Linked DNA regions of Macaca mulatta. The protein of the gene in region 4 purifies or fractionates together with the protein of the main gene of each other region. This does not show direct contact. Links are inferred from orthologs where the notes say so. Each region holds a gene or a part of one and is shown on either strand. Other genes may lie near its edges.

Evidence for each region. Proteins that work in one complex are often made in the same cells at the same time.
Region 1: the proteins of ITGB1 (region 4) and ITGA9 purify together in Homo sapiens (affinity purification with mass spectrometry; 3 studies listed by BioGRID and IntAct, counting the BioPlex papers as one, with this or other methods). This does not show direct contact. The link is inferred for Macaca mulatta from reciprocal best matches to the Homo sapiens genes ITGB1 and ITGA9.
Region 2: the proteins of ITGB1 (region 4) and CD63 purify together in Homo sapiens (affinity purification with western blotting; 3 studies listed by BioGRID and IntAct, with this or other methods). This does not show direct contact. The link is inferred for Macaca mulatta from reciprocal best matches to the Homo sapiens genes ITGB1 and CD63.
Region 3: the proteins of ITGB1 (region 4) and CANX purify together in Homo sapiens (affinity purification with mass spectrometry; 3 studies listed by BioGRID and IntAct, with this or other methods). This does not show direct contact. The link is inferred for Macaca mulatta from reciprocal best matches to the Homo sapiens genes ITGB1 and CANX.

What each region holds. Positions count from the first base shown.
Region 1 is NC_133407.1:99,705,681-99,709,779, forward strand, and holds the start of ITGA9 (integrin alpha-9), read left to right. Parts: upstream 1-1,299; 5' UTR 1,300-1,545; coding exon 1,546-1,730; intron 1,731-1,990; exon of another isoform or gene 1,991-2,397; intron 2,398-4,099. UniProt on the Homo sapiens protein: Integrin alpha-9/beta-1 (ITGA9:ITGB1) is a receptor for VCAM1, cytotactin and osteopontin. It recognizes the sequence A-E-I-D-G-I-E-L in cytotactin. ITGA9:ITGB1 may play a crucial role in SVEP1/polydom-mediated myoblast cell adhesion.
Region 2 is NC_133416.1:62,876,435-62,880,572, forward strand, and holds the start of CD63 (CD63 antigen), read right to left. Parts: upstream 2,801-4,138; intron 2,679-2,800; coding exon of another isoform or gene 2,537-2,678; coding exon 2,471-2,536; intron 1,536-2,470; coding exon 1,347-1,535; intron 1,156-1,346; coding exon 1,081-1,155; intron 987-1,080; coding exon 891-986; intron 509-890; coding exon 368-508; intron 143-367; coding exon 59-142; intron 1-58. Other genes in the region: uncharacterized protein LOC144332662, read left to right, coding at 2,535-2,678, 2,801-3,493. UniProt on the Homo sapiens protein: Functions as a cell surface receptor for TIMP1 and plays a role in the activation of cellular signaling cascades. Plays a role in the activation of ITGB1 and integrin signaling, leading to the activation of AKT, FAK/PTK2 and MAP kinases.
Region 3 is NC_133411.1:188,686,871-188,690,882, reverse strand, and holds the start of CANX (calnexin), read right to left. Parts: upstream 2,801-4,012; 5' UTR 2,665-2,800; intron 1-2,664. UniProt on the Homo sapiens protein: Calcium-binding protein that interacts with newly synthesized monoglucosylated glycoproteins in the endoplasmic reticulum. It may act in assisting protein assembly and/or in the retention within the ER of unassembled protein subunits.
Region 4 is NC_133414.1:34,292,960-34,296,459, reverse strand, and holds part of ITGB1 (integrin beta-1), read left to right. Parts: intron 1-1,260; coding exon 1,261-1,427; intron 1,428-2,639; coding exon of another isoform or gene 2,640-2,714; exon of another isoform or gene 2,715-2,720; intron 2,721-3,500.

The DNA.
Region 1 (4,099 bases), on a different chromosome or scaffold from region 4:
AGTTGAAAATCCTAGGTAGACACATTTCAGGAAGAAAGAAGTGTTGGAGAGGGCACAACGTGTGTGAAAACCCCTGCTGGACACATTCAGGGGACAGCTAGAAGTTGTGTGTGGATACATTGTAGGGTTTGTGGGAAGTGAGTCAGGAAAGGGGCATAAAATGGGGCTGGAAACAGATGGAGCCTCCATTTGAAGTTATGCTAAGGAGACCTGGCTCCATCCTATAGGCAGGAGTAGCTGGTGGGGGGCAACAGGAAGTTTTTAACCATTGTCCAAACTCTGTTGTAGAATTAAAAAGTGGAAAGAAGAGAACACAGGCAGGGAAACCACAAGAGTGTGGTCAGACTTCAACATGATAGCAGTCAATTCAGTAGGAATCTTGAATTTGAGTAGTCAGGTTCATAGAGACAGAAGGTAGAAAGGTGGTTGCCAGAGGCTGGTGGTGGGGATGGGGGTAGGGTTGGGGGAAAGAGGAGTTATTGTTTAGGGTATAAAGTTTGTTTTCCAAGATGAAGAGTTCTGAAGTTGGATGGTGGTGATGGTTGCATAACATGCATATACTTAATCCCCCAAACGGCACAGTTAAAAATGGTTAAGATGGTAGACTTTCTCTTATGCATATTTACAATTACACACACACACACCCTTGAGTGCACGCAGACCCTGCTGGATTCCAACCCACAGAGCTTCTGATTTAGCAGAGCTGAGTGGGACCTGAGGATTTGCTTTTTCTTACAAGTTCCTAGATGACGTTGATGCTGCTGGTCCAGACACCACACTTAGGGAATCACTGGTGTATGAGACCAAGTGACTAGAATATGGAGGGGTGCTCTGCTCGCTTCCACGTGGCTACTATTGTTATGAACAACAACAGCGGGCGTTTACTGAGCACTGCTCCTACAGCTTATCTCACAACTGGGTGAAGGAGCAGAGGATGCGCAGGGCTAGAATCTGGAGTCTGAACTTGTCTTTCACCGGGGTTGCTTTGGATCTTACTGGTTGTGAGACAGGGAGGGAAAGAGAGACAAAAACAGGGAGACAGGCCCACTAGGGCCGGCAGAGCCTGTAGTGGCGGAGGGCAGCAGCTTTATCTCCGGGAACCCGAGCGCCCCGTGCGCGGCGGGGAGGGGGCAGCTCCGGGCGCCTCGGCGGGTCCCCGAGGCTGACTCCCGCCCGGGAAGTGCGCGCAGGGCTCGCAGCCCGCAGGGGGCGCTGCCGCGCCGTCCAGCCGCTGCCGCCCGGGCCGCCCACCCTGCGGGCGCGCCCCTCCGCAGTCCAGCGCCGCCCGGCCCGGGACCCGCTCGCGCAGACTTCTCGGGCGGACTGAGGACGCCCACCGCTCGGGGCCGTCCCTGTGCTCGCCTTCAGCGCCCGCTCAGCTCGCCGTCCGCGCCCCGGTGCCGGGCCCGACGCCCGCATCCCGCCCGTGTCCAGGCGCAGAGCTCCCGCCCCGGGGAGCTTCCCGGCCGTCGGCTGACCCCGCGGCCCGCGCGCTCGGCGCCCTGCTCGCCGGGCAGAGGGGAAGGCGGCGGCGGCCAGCTAGGGATGGGCGGCCCGGCTGCGCCGAGGGGCGCCGGGGGGCTCCGCGCGCTGCTGCTGGCGCTGGTGGTCGCGGGGATCCCCGCGGGCGCCTACAACCTCGACCCGCAGCGTCCGGTGCACTTCCAGGGCCCCGCCGACTCGTTCTTCGGCTACGCGGTTCTGGAGCATTTCCACGACAACACGCGCTGGTGAGTGCCCGCCCAGCTCCGCGACCCTGGCCCGCGCGGCCACCGCCCTGGTCCCCAGGCCAGCGCCGCCGCCGCCTTTCCGGCCTCCTCCATGCCGCCGTCCCGAGGGGGCGATTTAAATGTCTCTGTTGCGCGCGGCTTGGCCGCCGGGGGGACGGCGGGAGAAGGGAGGACGCCGTCCGGGGCCCTCTGAGGTCGGGGTCGGCGCCTGGAGGCGGACGGGGGCGTCCGGGCCCCTCCCCGGGGTCCCAGCCCGGAGCGTGCGGGGAGAGCCGCTAGAGTTGTCTCTCCGCCGCCCAGCCAGACTCGGCTTCGCTCTCTGGATCGCAAAGTAACTTGGCTCCTCTGCCTCCGAGTGGCCGCCGCTGGCCCGGTGAGCTTCCTGAACCTCGCAGGGCCTGGAGGAGTCGGGGCACTGGAGCTGCACCTCTCCCCGATTTTGGGGAACCCCTGAGGAAGTGGTATAGCCTCTACAGCGCCGCTGCGCGGGGTGGGGCTCCCCAGGGACAGGGTGTCTGGGATCCCTTAGGGCGCACTGGAGCCCAGAGCCACCCCCTCCCACCCCGCCCCTACAAGACCCTGGGTGGAAGTGAAGCGGAGAAGCTCCTGGGATATAGGGAAGAGGAGGGTGAGGGAGCACCTACGAGTGACACCGCCAGTGGGTCAGGTAGGTGTTTCTTGCGGCAGCCTGAGTCTCATCTCATACGGGCCATTCGACCTGGAGACCTTCACCAGAAGCCTTAAGAGAGAGACGTGTTTCTATAGAGGCCAAGGGGTCCAGCTGTCTCCTGAGTACGAAGAGGTGGGCCTGAAGAAGGGGGCGGCCCTCCCCCATGAAGCACCATAAGCTGAGTGGTACAGAGCTTGTGCCCAACCCCAGCAGAGAAGCACTAAGGGGAGGTTGGTGCCCTCACTGGCCACTTCCTCTGGACCCGAGGGAATGAACAGCCACATAGTGGTCACTTCTTGATAGGAGAGAGAGTTAGGCTGCAGGAAGTTCCCCCGTTCAAGGTCATGCCTCAGTGGGGGCCCAGGTGACAGCCAGGCTGGGGTTGATTTTATTGTGTAGTCACCAGCCTGAGCGGCCTTAGGGGTGGCAGGCAGGGAGGTCGAGGTCACTGTTGCCGGTGCATGAAGTTATGCAGGAGAGTCACTGCTCTGTATTGGACAGAGGCTGATGGAAAAGGGTGATTTGTGGATCGCAATACTCAGGCATTCCCGGAAAAGGGGACTCCGAGACCATCCCACTAAGAATAATGTTGTTCAGGAGATCAGCCTCCAAGAGAACCAGATTTCAAAGCCCTCACATAGCTCTCGCCCAGCTCCACATCCCCCTCTCTCACTCCAGTTGCTGGGTTTAAGACAGCGTGTCTGTTCTTACACTTGTCAAATTCCCCTTTTAAAGCAGAGCAGGCTGAACATTTTTCTGTGTCCTGCAGACTCAGGGTCTGAGGTTGAAGAACACATCCCAGATCCCCACACTAGGCACCAAGCACATGGGCAGCGCTGTCAAAAATGGGAGGGCTACTGCGGACAGGGGGCTGCTGAGAAAGGGCCGACAGCTGAGCAGGCAGCCAAGCCAGCCAGAGCATTGTATGTGATCTGCAGGCTGAGGTTGGCTCAAGTGCCTTAGAGCTCTTTGACAGCTAGAGGGAGAGAGGCCAGGCCACTGTCACTGTGGATTTGCATGGGCCACAGGTCAAAGCCACCCTGCCTGGGAAAGGAATGGGTAGAGACGAGAGCAGATCTGACAGAGAAAAGGTGTTCAGCCTACTTTGATTTAAAAAGGGGATAAAGAAAAGCTGTTGTGAGCAGATTTGGCCAGTGTAGGAAAAGACATTGTGGCCTTCAACTTGTTACCCAGGGTAAATGGTAGGGAGGGGATGTGGAGCTGGGCAATAATGCTGTGCATATCCTTGTTGCCAGTTGAGATGTGGGACTGGTATTTCAGGGGTCCATGGGAACCCATGTAGCTGGGCTGCTGGGCTCAAAAGTGCCCTCTCTTGTTGTGATACAAGCTGGCTGCTTTTTTGTGTTGGAGTGCTTGTTCCTGTAGCTGTTCAGGCACCAACTTTACTGAAATCTTCTAAAAATAATGCTTCGTTTTACTCCCCCACCCACCACATTGACTTAATTTTTTCTTAGATTTTGTTGTCGCCTTGATTTCTGTTCTCATGCTGTTGTTTTCAAGTGTTTTCCTCCCCATCCTTTTTTTCTCTTTCCTTTTTTCCCAATATTCTTTGTCTTAGACCTTGAATGTATTTTTTGCTGTATGTATGTTCGAATGTATTTTTTATCCAGGCTTGGTAAACTAAGGCCTTTGAAGTAAGTGACTTCCAGCATCTTCTTTCTCCTTCTTCTTTCCTCTA
Region 2 (4,138 bases), on a different chromosome or scaffold from region 4:
CCCTATCCTCCAGGCACCCTGGATTGAGTCCCAGCCCTCTCTCAGGGTTATCTCTTACCTCAACAAAAGCAATTCCAAGAGCTGCTGCAGCCACCACCAGCACATTTTTCCTCAGCCAGCCCCCAATCTTCTCCACACAGCCCTGAAGGGTGGCAGGCACAAACGATAAAAGCACCATCAGAAACTTCCCACCCCAATCCCCTCCCCTGGTCCATCAATCTCTTCCCTGCCCCGGTACCTTTCACCCCACCCTTACCATTTCCAGATCCCCTCCCCATCCCTGACGCTGTCCACCTCCATCCTGGGTCTCTTGCCTTCTAAAATATTTCCCAGGTTTTCCAAGTCCCATACACAGTTTCCTCCCTACCTCCTTATGGATCGCCTTCTCGTTGAAATTAATCCCACAGCCCACAGTGACATTAATGCAGCAGGAGTCAGGGACTCGGTTCTTCGACATGGAAGGGATTTTCTCCCAATCTGTGTAGTTAGCAGCCCCACAGCACTTAAACTGGGGTAGGGAAGAAATATGGAGAAGGGAGTTAAGTGAACCTTCACCATCAATATGGAGATGAGAATTGTTTTTTTTTTTTTTTTTTTTTTTTTTTTTTTTGAGACAGACTTGCTCTGTTGCCCAGACTGGAGTGTGGTGGCTTGATCTCGGCTCACTGCAACCTCTGCCTTCTGGGTTCAAGCGATTCTCCTGCCTCACCCTCCTGAGTAGCTGGGATTACAGGCACTCACCACCACACCTGGCTAATTTTTGTATTTTTAGTAGAGAAAGGGTTTTGGCCTCCAAAAGTGCTGAGATTACAGGTGTGAGCCACCACACCCAGCCTTGGAGATGAGAATTCTCTATTCCCATCACCCCTGCTCCCAGCAACCCCACTCACATCTGCCTGCATCCTGTCCAGGATCGAAGCAGTGTGGTTGTTTTTCGGGTAATTCTCCATCTGCTGCCGGAAGTTGTTATTAAACTCTGACATCACCTGAGGGTACGGAGGAGCACTGTTGCCGTCAGAATTCAAGCACCTGGGTCCCAGACCAGGCTGAGGCAGGCCCTTCCCATTATTCCCTGCTTACCTTATCTCTAAACACATAGCCAGCAATGGCTGCGGCCACCTCCACCAACATGATAAGAGACAGAAAGATGGCAAACTGCAGGAGCAAAGGACAGGAGTCAGGTTTGGAGTCTATGCATTACAGGGGCCCGTTCTGGCATAGCCGGTCCCTGGACACTCACAAAGGTCTTCCTCACCCACCCACCTCACCTCACCCACCTTCCTGAGCACCAACCAAGTTGCTCTGGCAGTCCCAGACCACCCATGTTAGTCCCGCCTCCCACTCACCGTGATCATAAGACAATAGTTCTCCTTGCAGGCCCCGCAGCAGCCCACAAAGGCCACGAGGAAGAGGAAGACACCCACTGCGATGATGACCACAGGCAACAGAGAGCCAGGGGTAGCCCCCTGGATTATGGTCTGACTCAGGACAAGCTGTGCCCCGACACCCACAGCAATCAGTCCCACTGCACAGGCCTAAGAGGAAAGCAGGTGAGGATTAGGCCTGATCCACAACACAGTGGTCCTCCATGGTGGAGGACAAGGGGTACACCTAGGACACAGACATGACCCCATCCGGAGGAGAGATTCTCACACCTCCAGGGAACTTCTTTGGCTGTAGGGAAGGGGGATGACCCATCCTTGCCTGCCCCCATCTCCCTTGATCCCCTCCCAGCTCTTCAATCAGGGACGTGACCAAATTCAAAGACCTCCCAGAAAGCCTTGACCCCAAGGCACGTATTTCTGACCTAGAATAATGCTTTCTACGGGCCTCCAGGACTCCCAGCTCAATTCTCTCCCAGAACTGCTCCCTCACTATCCTCCAGTGCACACCCCACGCGCATCAGCTGTGACTAAGGTTCCTCTGGCCAGTTAAGCCAGGAGAAGGGAAGAGGAAAAGGCGGCAAGAGTGATGTGCCCCTCCCTAGACAAACAGTAGCCTCTCAAGCCAGGAGCCCAGGACAGGAGCAAATTGAGGTGGGCAGAGCCCTTCCTCGCTCCCAAGCGCTGGGAGGACGGAAAGGGGGAGAGGGACTGGAGAGGGATGAGGGGGTTGGGGAGGAAGAGAGGGGAGAAGGGAGAGCGAAGGGAAGCCTCGTGGCGATAGCATCAGGCGGTTGGCTGGTTGCCCCACTGCCCCATATCACAAGTGGTTGGGTCACCAGACAGGAAGGGCCAGGAAGGAGGGATGGGGGTAGGGGTTGCTGCACACCCAGGATGGCCATTCTCGGTGGAAACAAGCCTCAGGTGTCCAGGAAAACTGGAGGAGGGAGTGGCCGCGCTGTCTTTCCCTGGCTTTCTTTCCACATCTGGTCTCCAGCTGCCTTAATTATTCCCTCAGCCCTCACCACTGTGGAGCCAGGTCTCCCCGCACCCTGCCGGCGCGCCCCCCAGGACCCCTCGCCACTCACGCAAAAGGCCAGCAGGAGGACGTAGAGCAAGAACTTCACACATTTCATTCCTCCTTCCACCGCCATGGCTGCCGGGCCTGGGGCAGAGAGGAGGGCGGGGGGATTAAAACCGGCCGAAGGGGGACCTCGGTTTCCGGGCTCCTGGCCGGCCCTCGAGGGCTTCCCTACACGGCCCCGATTCCCGGCCCCTCCCACCCGGAAACCCGCGGTCGGAACCACGTCTCCCAGCCCCCTCTCTACCCGCAGGAGAGGGGTGGGGGCGACCACCGCGAAGCCCGGACCCCGCCCCGCCGCCTCTGGGGCCCAGGATAGATCCGAGGGCGCCGGTAGGGGCTCGAGCCTGACGCCGACCCTCGGCCCTTCAGTCTCCAGGCGTCAAACACCCTCTCCCCACCCAACACCCAGCCCGGAGAAACGGTCTTCAGCCCAACCCCGACCCCTGCCCCAGTCGCTTTCCCCTGGGCTCTGACCTCCCGCCCACCAAAAAAAAAAAAGGTGCGGCCGGCACCCCCGCCACACCCTGCCCGGGCCCAGGGAAGTTCGAATCAAAGTTGCTCGAGGGCGGCTGGAGAGCGCCGGGCGAGTCTCCGCGGGCCTGGGGCGAGCCCTGGAGGAAGGGACCGCCGGTGGTCTCTCCCAGCCCGCGCCGAAGTCCGCCGGGGCCCCGCGGCCTCACCTGGGCTCCCCAAGGCTGCGCGCTCCTCTCCCGCCGCGGCTCCGGGGCTCTCTAGCTGCGCCCCCCGGCTCCCGCCCCGCCTGCCGCGCGGCCCCGCCCCGGGCTCCAGCCACGGTCCCCTCCCCCGCCCAGTGGCCGCCGGCCTCCCTCATGTGACGCGGGAACAGCTGCGGCCTGAGTCACTGGGCCCGGCGCGGGGTGGGCCGAGCCCCCCGCCCGGCCAGGGCCACGTGGCCCCTACCCGGAAGAAGGCGCCCACCCCCCGCAAACGGAGAGCCGAAAAGGCAAGACCTCGGGGCGCCTGGGGCCCCCCTCTCGCGCCCCGCCTCCGTGCCAACTCGGGGTAGGAGAGCAGGGCGGAGCGCAGCCTGGGTCACTCTGGTTTAGAGAAGCGGACGAGCTAGGTGAGAGTTATCCTGAGCGCCGGGGCGGAGAGCTGAGGCCCGGTGACAAGGTGGTCTGAGAGAGGTTTCCCCATCCTTCTCCAGTAGCCCAGCTCTCTCCTCTGGCTCCAACTCTGTGCAAGCCCCCTCCCCATCCGACTGTGCAGACAGCTGGGGACTGCCTGGGGTCGGGTGGGGCCAGAACCAACAGTTCCAGAAAGTCCCTGGCCTCACATACTGGGTGTCTCCCAACATTCTAGAGCATTCTAGAGTGGGGATTTCTGACCCCCCTATATTAGCATAGCTTCTCCATTTTCCAGGGTTCCTAGTCTGAGAAAAGGGGAGGAAGCCCTTCCCCGAAGCCACGCTACCCAGTCAATCAATCCACGTCCGCGTCGGGTCCCGCCCTCTGGGGGAGGATTGACAAGGTCTGCCCTCCCAACTCCCGGACAGCTCCTGCATCGTCTGTGATAGCGAGGGTTTGGGGGAAGACACGAAGGTAGAGGCTTACATCCTCTGGATTTCCTCGTCTTATCCCAGAAGACAAAGCCAGGTGAGGGCTGGAAGCGGGCTAGGGGGTCAAGCTGCCTCCCTCCCTTGTGTGCCAGG
Region 3 (4,012 bases), on a different chromosome or scaffold from region 4:
ACTGCACTCCAGCATGGGTGACAGAGGGAGACTCAGTCTCAAAAAAAAAAAAAAAAAAAAAAAAGTACATCTGTTGCAGTAACAAAGAATTCAACCAGGACTTTCCTGACAAGTTTCACCATAAGCTATATAGGCTATAACTGTGTTTAGGTACTTTCATTATTTCCTAGGCGTTATTATGAACTATGTATTCTATTTCCACAGTTCATTACACTTTTTTTTTTTTTTTCTGAGATGGAGTCTCACTCTGTCACCCAGGCTGGAGTGCAATGGCACCATCTCCACTCACTGCAACCTCCGCCTTTCAGGTTCAGTGATTCTCCTGCCTCAGCCTCCAGAGTAGCTAGAGGTTAATTTTTTTCTGTATTTTTAGTAGAGACAGGGTTTCACCATGTTGGCGAGGCTGGTCACCAACTCCTGGCCTCAAGTAATCTGCCCACCTTAGCCTCCCAAAGTGCTCGAACTACAGGCGTGAGAGCCACCGTGCCCAGCCAATTCATTACACTTTTTAAACTAGTTCCATGTTCATCGTTTTATCTGCCCCTCCCAATTGCCCCCTAAAGGTGAAGAACCCAGCAGACTTCGTATTCCTAAAGTTACGGAAACAAAAGTAGGACAAAAGCTACCGGTGGTGGCTCACGCCTGTAATCCCAGCACTCTGGGAGGCTGAGGCGGGTGGTTCACGAGGTCAGGAGATCGTGACCATCATGGCTAACACGGTGAAACTCCGTCTCTACTGAAAAATACAAAAATTAGCCGGGTGTGGTGGTGGGTGCCTGTAGTCTCAGCTACTCGGTAGGGTGAGGCAGGAGAATGGCGTGAACCCAGGAGGCAGAGCTTGCGGTGAGCCAAGATCGTGCCACTGCACTCCAGCCTGGGTGACAGAGCGAGACTCCGCCTCAAAAAGAAAAAAAAAGCTACCATACTGGGCCCACAATTCAAGTTTCATGAGCCTGCAATTCATGCTCACCAACTGCCACTTCATCCCCTTAAGCTGTCTTCCAGGGCAAAGAGAACTCTAACTACAAGGATGCAATAGTGTGATTGCCAAAACGGCAGCAACGACTTTTGTCAAAACATTTACCCCTTGTGGCCCTGAGAAGATAATGCGCTAAATGAACTGTGGAGTCAAGATAGTAAGGTGTGGGGGAATGCTGACACCCACCTGCAGCCAAGTCAGAAAATTTCTGTTGTGCAACACTGACCCCACACACAGTTCACTCGGGCATTCTCATGACCCAGTTACCTGGCTTGTTTGTGCACCCTGGTTGATGCAAAGAACTCCCACATAGTCCTTTACCTCTGCTCTAAGTATAATTACACCAAATGTACAACAGTTGATTAACATGGCAGTTGATTCTATTCATGACCCTCAAACAATATTGGGAAAAGACTGAGATACAGAATGATTTTAAAGATCAATAAAATTCTTCCCCCTTAAAAAAATCTAATTAAAAAATTAAGCAAAATATTCCATTTCCTAAATCAGAGGTAAAAAGACTTAACTATAGTTCATCTTGTCCTCTCAATCTTTTAATATTAAGCTCAGTTTAACTTCCCTCAACCAGCAATCACTTGTGTCATACCTAACAGTTAATACACAATGCCCAGTTTCTTCCATCACCATAACTGTGACTTCAGGTCCTGGGAAACAGGACTGAACCAGTTCACTAGGATGGCAGTGTATTGGTCCAGAGGCATTCAGATTATAATAATGTATTGCAGTAATTATAGGGCAGTTACTAAATGTCAGACTTCCCTTATTGTATACATATCTGAATGTAATCCTCACAGATCCATCAGGTATTATTATATCCATCACTTGACAAGAACGGGGGCACAAAGGGTAAGAAAACTGCCGAAGTTCACAGAGCAACAAATGACCAATGAAAGACTTGAGCCAGGGCCTTAACGTTAACCACTGCACTGCCTATCCCTGAACTATAATCCCAGCACCATCATTAAACTAATCGCATGACCTTGGGCCAGTCATTTCATACCTCTAGGCCTCCCCTGTAAAAACAGATGCATTAGATGAGTTTTCGGGTGCTTTCCTGCTTTTAACGCCCTGTCCATCTCCAACTGGATGACTCTCCTCCAGAATAGGTGCTGTAACTGTCAAGTTTCTCAACCACTGCGTGTTCTCCTTCTAGTACATTCCCCTTTCTCTTCAGGGAGCTAGGGTCCAGTCTACTCTTTGGATTTTCAAATACTAAACTGTAACGCTAATCCTAAACATTCCCCCTCGGTCTAACACCATCCTTCCCTACTGCTAGGGGTACCCAGCAGGCCCGATTCCACTCCACACTTTTACCCAGTTACTCCAGCCCACCTCGCGGCTGCCAGGCAGCAGGCAAAGAGGCCTAAGAAAGCCCTAGAAGCAAAGCCATAGGAATAAGTCAGCTTTCCCAGAGGTCAAGGAAGGCTGTAGGGCCACCTGCCACGCCTCCCGACCCCGGCCGCGCGGCCTGGGCCCGCTCCCCAACCAAAGAGGCCCGAATTCGGGCCTCCCCGCTCACGGCGGGCGCGTCGGACAGGGCCTGGGCCCTCAAGAGCCAGCCCGACCCCTCAGTCCCCGGCCACGCCCGACCCCTCAGCCGCAGAGGCGCTCCCAGCCCCCGGGGTCCTCAAGGCCCGAGGACGCACTCAGGTCTCCCGTCTCACCTCTAGCCTCCCGGGGACCGCGGGGCTGCCCGTGCCCCTTCCCGCCCGCACACCTGGCCCCGCGCCGCAGTAAAGACAGAGGCGGAGGCGGCCCGACCGTCACGTGCCGCAGAACCAACAGGCCTCGGACACCGCTGCCGCGCGAGCGAGCCCCACCGCACTAAGCCCGGCCCTGCGCCGCCCCTGGCCCCTCAGTAGCCACAGCCGGCGCCAAGTCCCGCCCACCCGCGCAAGCCCCGACATCCGGTTGGCCGGCGTGGGCATCGCTCTACGCACCGTCCCATACGCCCCCTACGGCTATTCTTCGTGGAGTGTGACGATTGGTCGGGAGTGAGGCAGGAAGTGGCTGTTGGTTGGGCGGGAGGTGAGGGGCGGGCCACGCTGGATCGAGAGCGCCGGGCGCGCGCGTCCCGGGGCGGGGCTGGCTTAACAGGCGTTCCCGCGCTCGGTTGCCGTGGTGCCTTCGGGGGCGTTCCAACCCAACCCCCAGCGGCCCTCACCCGTCTGGTTGCTGGAGCCGAGACTTGGGACGCATCGCGCGCCCTTAGCTGACGGGGCAAACGGCAGCAGGCGGGAGGGGTGGGAGTGCGACGATCAGCCATCAAGGAGGGCCGGTTGCAGCGAACGCGGGCCCTTATGGGCGTGAGCAGAACGCAGCGCGGGCGCCTGGCCGGCCAGCCGTGCCCCGCTCCGCGCCGTGTGAGCCGGCGCCGCAGTTCCTGCAGAGTCATGGCTCGGCGCAGGAGCCTGCGCAGCCTCGTCGCCCAGCATAACACACAGTCCAGAGTAACACAATCCGAGGTTATCTGAACTTTCAATTTATGTTTCCTGAAGTGAGATTAGGGGTCAGGGCAGAGGATGAGCCCTGAGATACAGGGATGACAGGATGAGAGAAGGCATGGTGCCCTGGAAAGATTTCAGATACGCCACCATTTTAGTAACCCACTCTTAGCACGTCTTCAGTTTTCAGTATGCTGAGAACCTCACAAAATGGAAGTGGCCCCGGGTTTTTCTAGACCTTTAGAGATCTTGATCTCTTGTCCTCTGTTTGGACACCCAAAGGCTTGAAAACTTGGGTGGAAAACACTAGAATCAGCGGATGTATCACTGATCTCAAAGCCCTCTTGCCACCTGGAAGGGGAAGAAAGGCAGGGTTTGGTGTTTGCATGAGTTAGTATCATCCAACCCTCAGCTCCCCAATTTTTTATTTTTATTTTTATTTTTTTGAGACGAAGTCTTGCTCTGTCGCTCAGGCTGGAGTGCAGTGGTGCGATCTTAGCTCACTACAACCTCCGCCTCCCGGGTTCAAGCGATTCTCCCTCAGCCTTCCGAGTCGCTTGGATTACAC
Region 4 (3,500 bases):
TCCTGGTAGCCTTTTTGTAGATTCTTTAGAATTTTCTACCTTAGTGTATATGTTTTTGTGTAAACATAAGCTTTCATTTCTCTTGGGTAAATAGTAAAAATGGCATTTTGGAGCATATGGTAAGCATATGTTTAACTTTGTAAGAAGCTGCCAGGTTCTTAGAGTCCTGTAGTGTTTTGAATTATCATCTAGGTGTTTTGCAAATATTGTCTCCCAGCCTGTGCCTCCTTATCGTTTCATTTTTTTAAGTGTCTTTTGAACACCACAGGTTTTAATTTTGATTAAGTACAGTTTACCAAGTTTTTCTTTTGTGGCTCTTATTTTTACATTGTCTTTCAGAACTCTGCCTAACCCAAGATTTTAAGGATTTTTCTCCTGTGTTTTTTTCTAGAAGTTTTATAGTTTCTGGGGTTTCACATTTAGATCTGTAACTCATCTTTAGTTATTCTTAGTGTGTGACAAAAGGCTCAGTTTTTTTCATATCAGTGTCCACTTGTTCTAGGGGCATTTGTTGAAAAAAGACTGTCCTTTCTCCACCTTTGTTGGAAATCAGGTGACCTTACATGTGTAGGCCTGTTTCTGACTCTATTCTGTTCCATGTATCTGAGTGTCTATCTGTTAGCTATACCACGTGGTCTTGTAGCTTTCTTTATAGCTAGCCCTGAAAGCAGGTAATAAGAGTCTTCCAACTTTATTATTTTACAAAAGTGTTTTTGAGACACTTCCCCTAGTTCACTGCCTTCCACGTTAATTTTAAAATTGGCTTGCTGATTGCTACAGAAGTTCTGCCAGGAGTTTGAGTGGGATACTATTGAGTTTATAGATCAAACTGGGAAGAATTGACATCTTAACAGTATTAGGTTTTGTAACTCCTGCACATGGAGTATCTCTCCATTTATTCAGTCTGAAAGATTTCTTTTTATCAGTGTTTAGTAATTCTTAACATGCAAATTTTGCATATATTTTGTTAGACTTATATGTAAGTTTTTCATGCTTTTTCATTCTATAGTAAATATTACTGTTTAAAAATTTCTGTTTTCAATATGTGGAAATAAATTATATATATAGAAAAGTACATGATTTTTGTTCATTGATTATGTATCCTGCAAGCTTGTAAACTCACTTGTTAGTTCTAAAAGCTATTTTATAGATTCTTTGGGATAGTGTGCATTCACTCTCTTGGGTGTTTATTCCTATATTTTTTTTTAATAAGATACTGCCCAGCTTTGTGGTACTTATTATAACCTCCTTATTTTCCAGAGTGTCCCACTGGTCCAGACATCATTCCAATTGTAGCTGGTGTGGTTGCTGGAATTGTTCTTATTGGCCTTGCATTACTGCTGATATGGAAGCTTTTAATGATAATTCATGACAGAAGGGAGTTTGCTAAATTTGAAAAGGAGAAAATGAATGCCAAATGGGACACAGTAAGTTACAAAACATCTAAAAAGCAAAGTGGCTCATAAAGTAAATGTAATACTCCTAAGACTTATATATTAACTGTCAGGGTGATCATTAAAGTCATTTTTAAGTGTTTTATTCCCCCAAAAGTTACTCAAGGAATTTGCATTTAGTGAAAAACAGAAAGCATCCTAAATATATCCCATTGAAACAAAACATTGATTATAAGCATGTATATTCTGGTTACTGTGGCCAGTATTTTTATTTCTTTAATAGTTTCGATCCTAAATCTGCCTTTTCATCTAATGTGGGGCAGAATCCTAAATAATGTTATCTGTGTAGCAAGCTATTCAATGGAAAGCTGTTTCTTTCTTTAAAAAAAGAAACAAAAAAACAACCTTCAATGAAAGCCAGATTCAAAAGGTTGTATACCAAGTTTGTCCAACTTGCAGCTTGTGGGCCAGGACATGCAGACCAGAACAGCTTTGAATGTGGCCCCAACACAAATTTGTAAACTTTCTTAGAAATTGTAAGTTGTTTTTTTTTTTTTGGTGACTTTTTTTTAAGCTTATCGGCTATTGTTAGTGTATTTTATGTGTGGCCCAAGACAATCATTCCAATGTGGCCCAGGGAAGCCAAAAGATTGGACACCCCTGCTGTATACAATATGATTCCATTTAGAAGATATTCTGGAAAAGCAAAACTGTAGGGGCAAAAATCAGTGGTTGCTAGGGGCTGGAACGGAGGAAAGGGTTGACCACAACAGGGCGTAAGGAATCTTCCTGGGGATGATCTTGATTGTGGGTAGATTTATGTATTTGAAAACTCACAGAACTATGTACTTTAAAAAGATGTGTGTTCCTCTATGAAAACTGTATCTCAGTAAACCTTAGCTTATAAAAATCTTAAAAGCCCTAAGTGACTGAAAGTTTATGTTAGCATTTTTAGAGCTTTGAAATAAGGAGTCAGAGGGTGGGGTAACCAAATGTTGGCCTTTGTGTATCCATCTTTTGATACAAGAAAGCAATGACAATCTTCAGTATTTTTAAATTGTAAATGAATTGTAGTTAGTTGCACTTTACTACAATTTCCTTGGGTTTTTTAAAATTATCAGTTTTTTAAATTATAAATTGCAGAAGGGTAGAAATAGAAAAAAAATTCCCTTTATAGTGTTTGAACACTATAAATGTCCTTTTTTTTTCTGATGAAATCATTAGAAACTATTTCTTTTACTTTAGCAAGAAAATCCGATTTACAAGAGTCCTATTAATAATTTCAAGAATCCAAACTACGGACGTAAAGCTGGTCTCTAAATTGCCGTTCGTATTTTCCTTCACTTTCTGCCTTTGCATGTGAACTTTTATCTTTTTTACTGCACTGTGTGTCCTTATCACTATTGCTGGTCTTTTTTTAAGTCTGGCTTTAAATATCGCTATTGTGGCTTTTCTTTTTGTGTGTTAACTTCGCGTTTTTCTTAGAAAGACTGTAAAATAAGTCATGTGATATAGAACAGCAGCTATGTTGTAGTGAAAAGAGAATGTGCTTTGCAATTAGTTAGACATTAGGTCAAATCCCACCTCTTCCACTTAGTAAGCAGAACAGCATTGAGCCACTTCACTTCTCATCTATCACAGGGAGTCAGTACTCTGTATTGTATGGGGTGGTTGTATTTGGCAAATGCACTCTAGTATATGAAATCAGCCTGTCAGCTCTAATCCTCACAACAGTCCTATGCCTAGAATAATATTATCCTTTTTTCTTTTCCTTTTCTTTTTTTTTTTTTTTTTTTTTTGAGACAGAGTCTTGCTCTGTCGCCCAACCTGGAGTGCAGTGGTGTGATGACAGCTCACTGCAACCTCTGCTTTCCAGATTCCAGCGATTCTCCTGCCTCAGCCTCCCAAGTATCTGGGATTACAGGTGCCTGCCACCACGCTAGGCTAATTTTTTTATTTTTAGTAGAGACGGGGTTTCACCATGTTGGCTGGGCTGGCCTTGAAGTCCTGACCTCTGGTGTTCCACCTGCCTTGGCCTCCCAAAGTGCTGGGATTACAGGTGTGAGCCACTGTGCCCCACCAGTATTATCCTTAAATAACAAATTT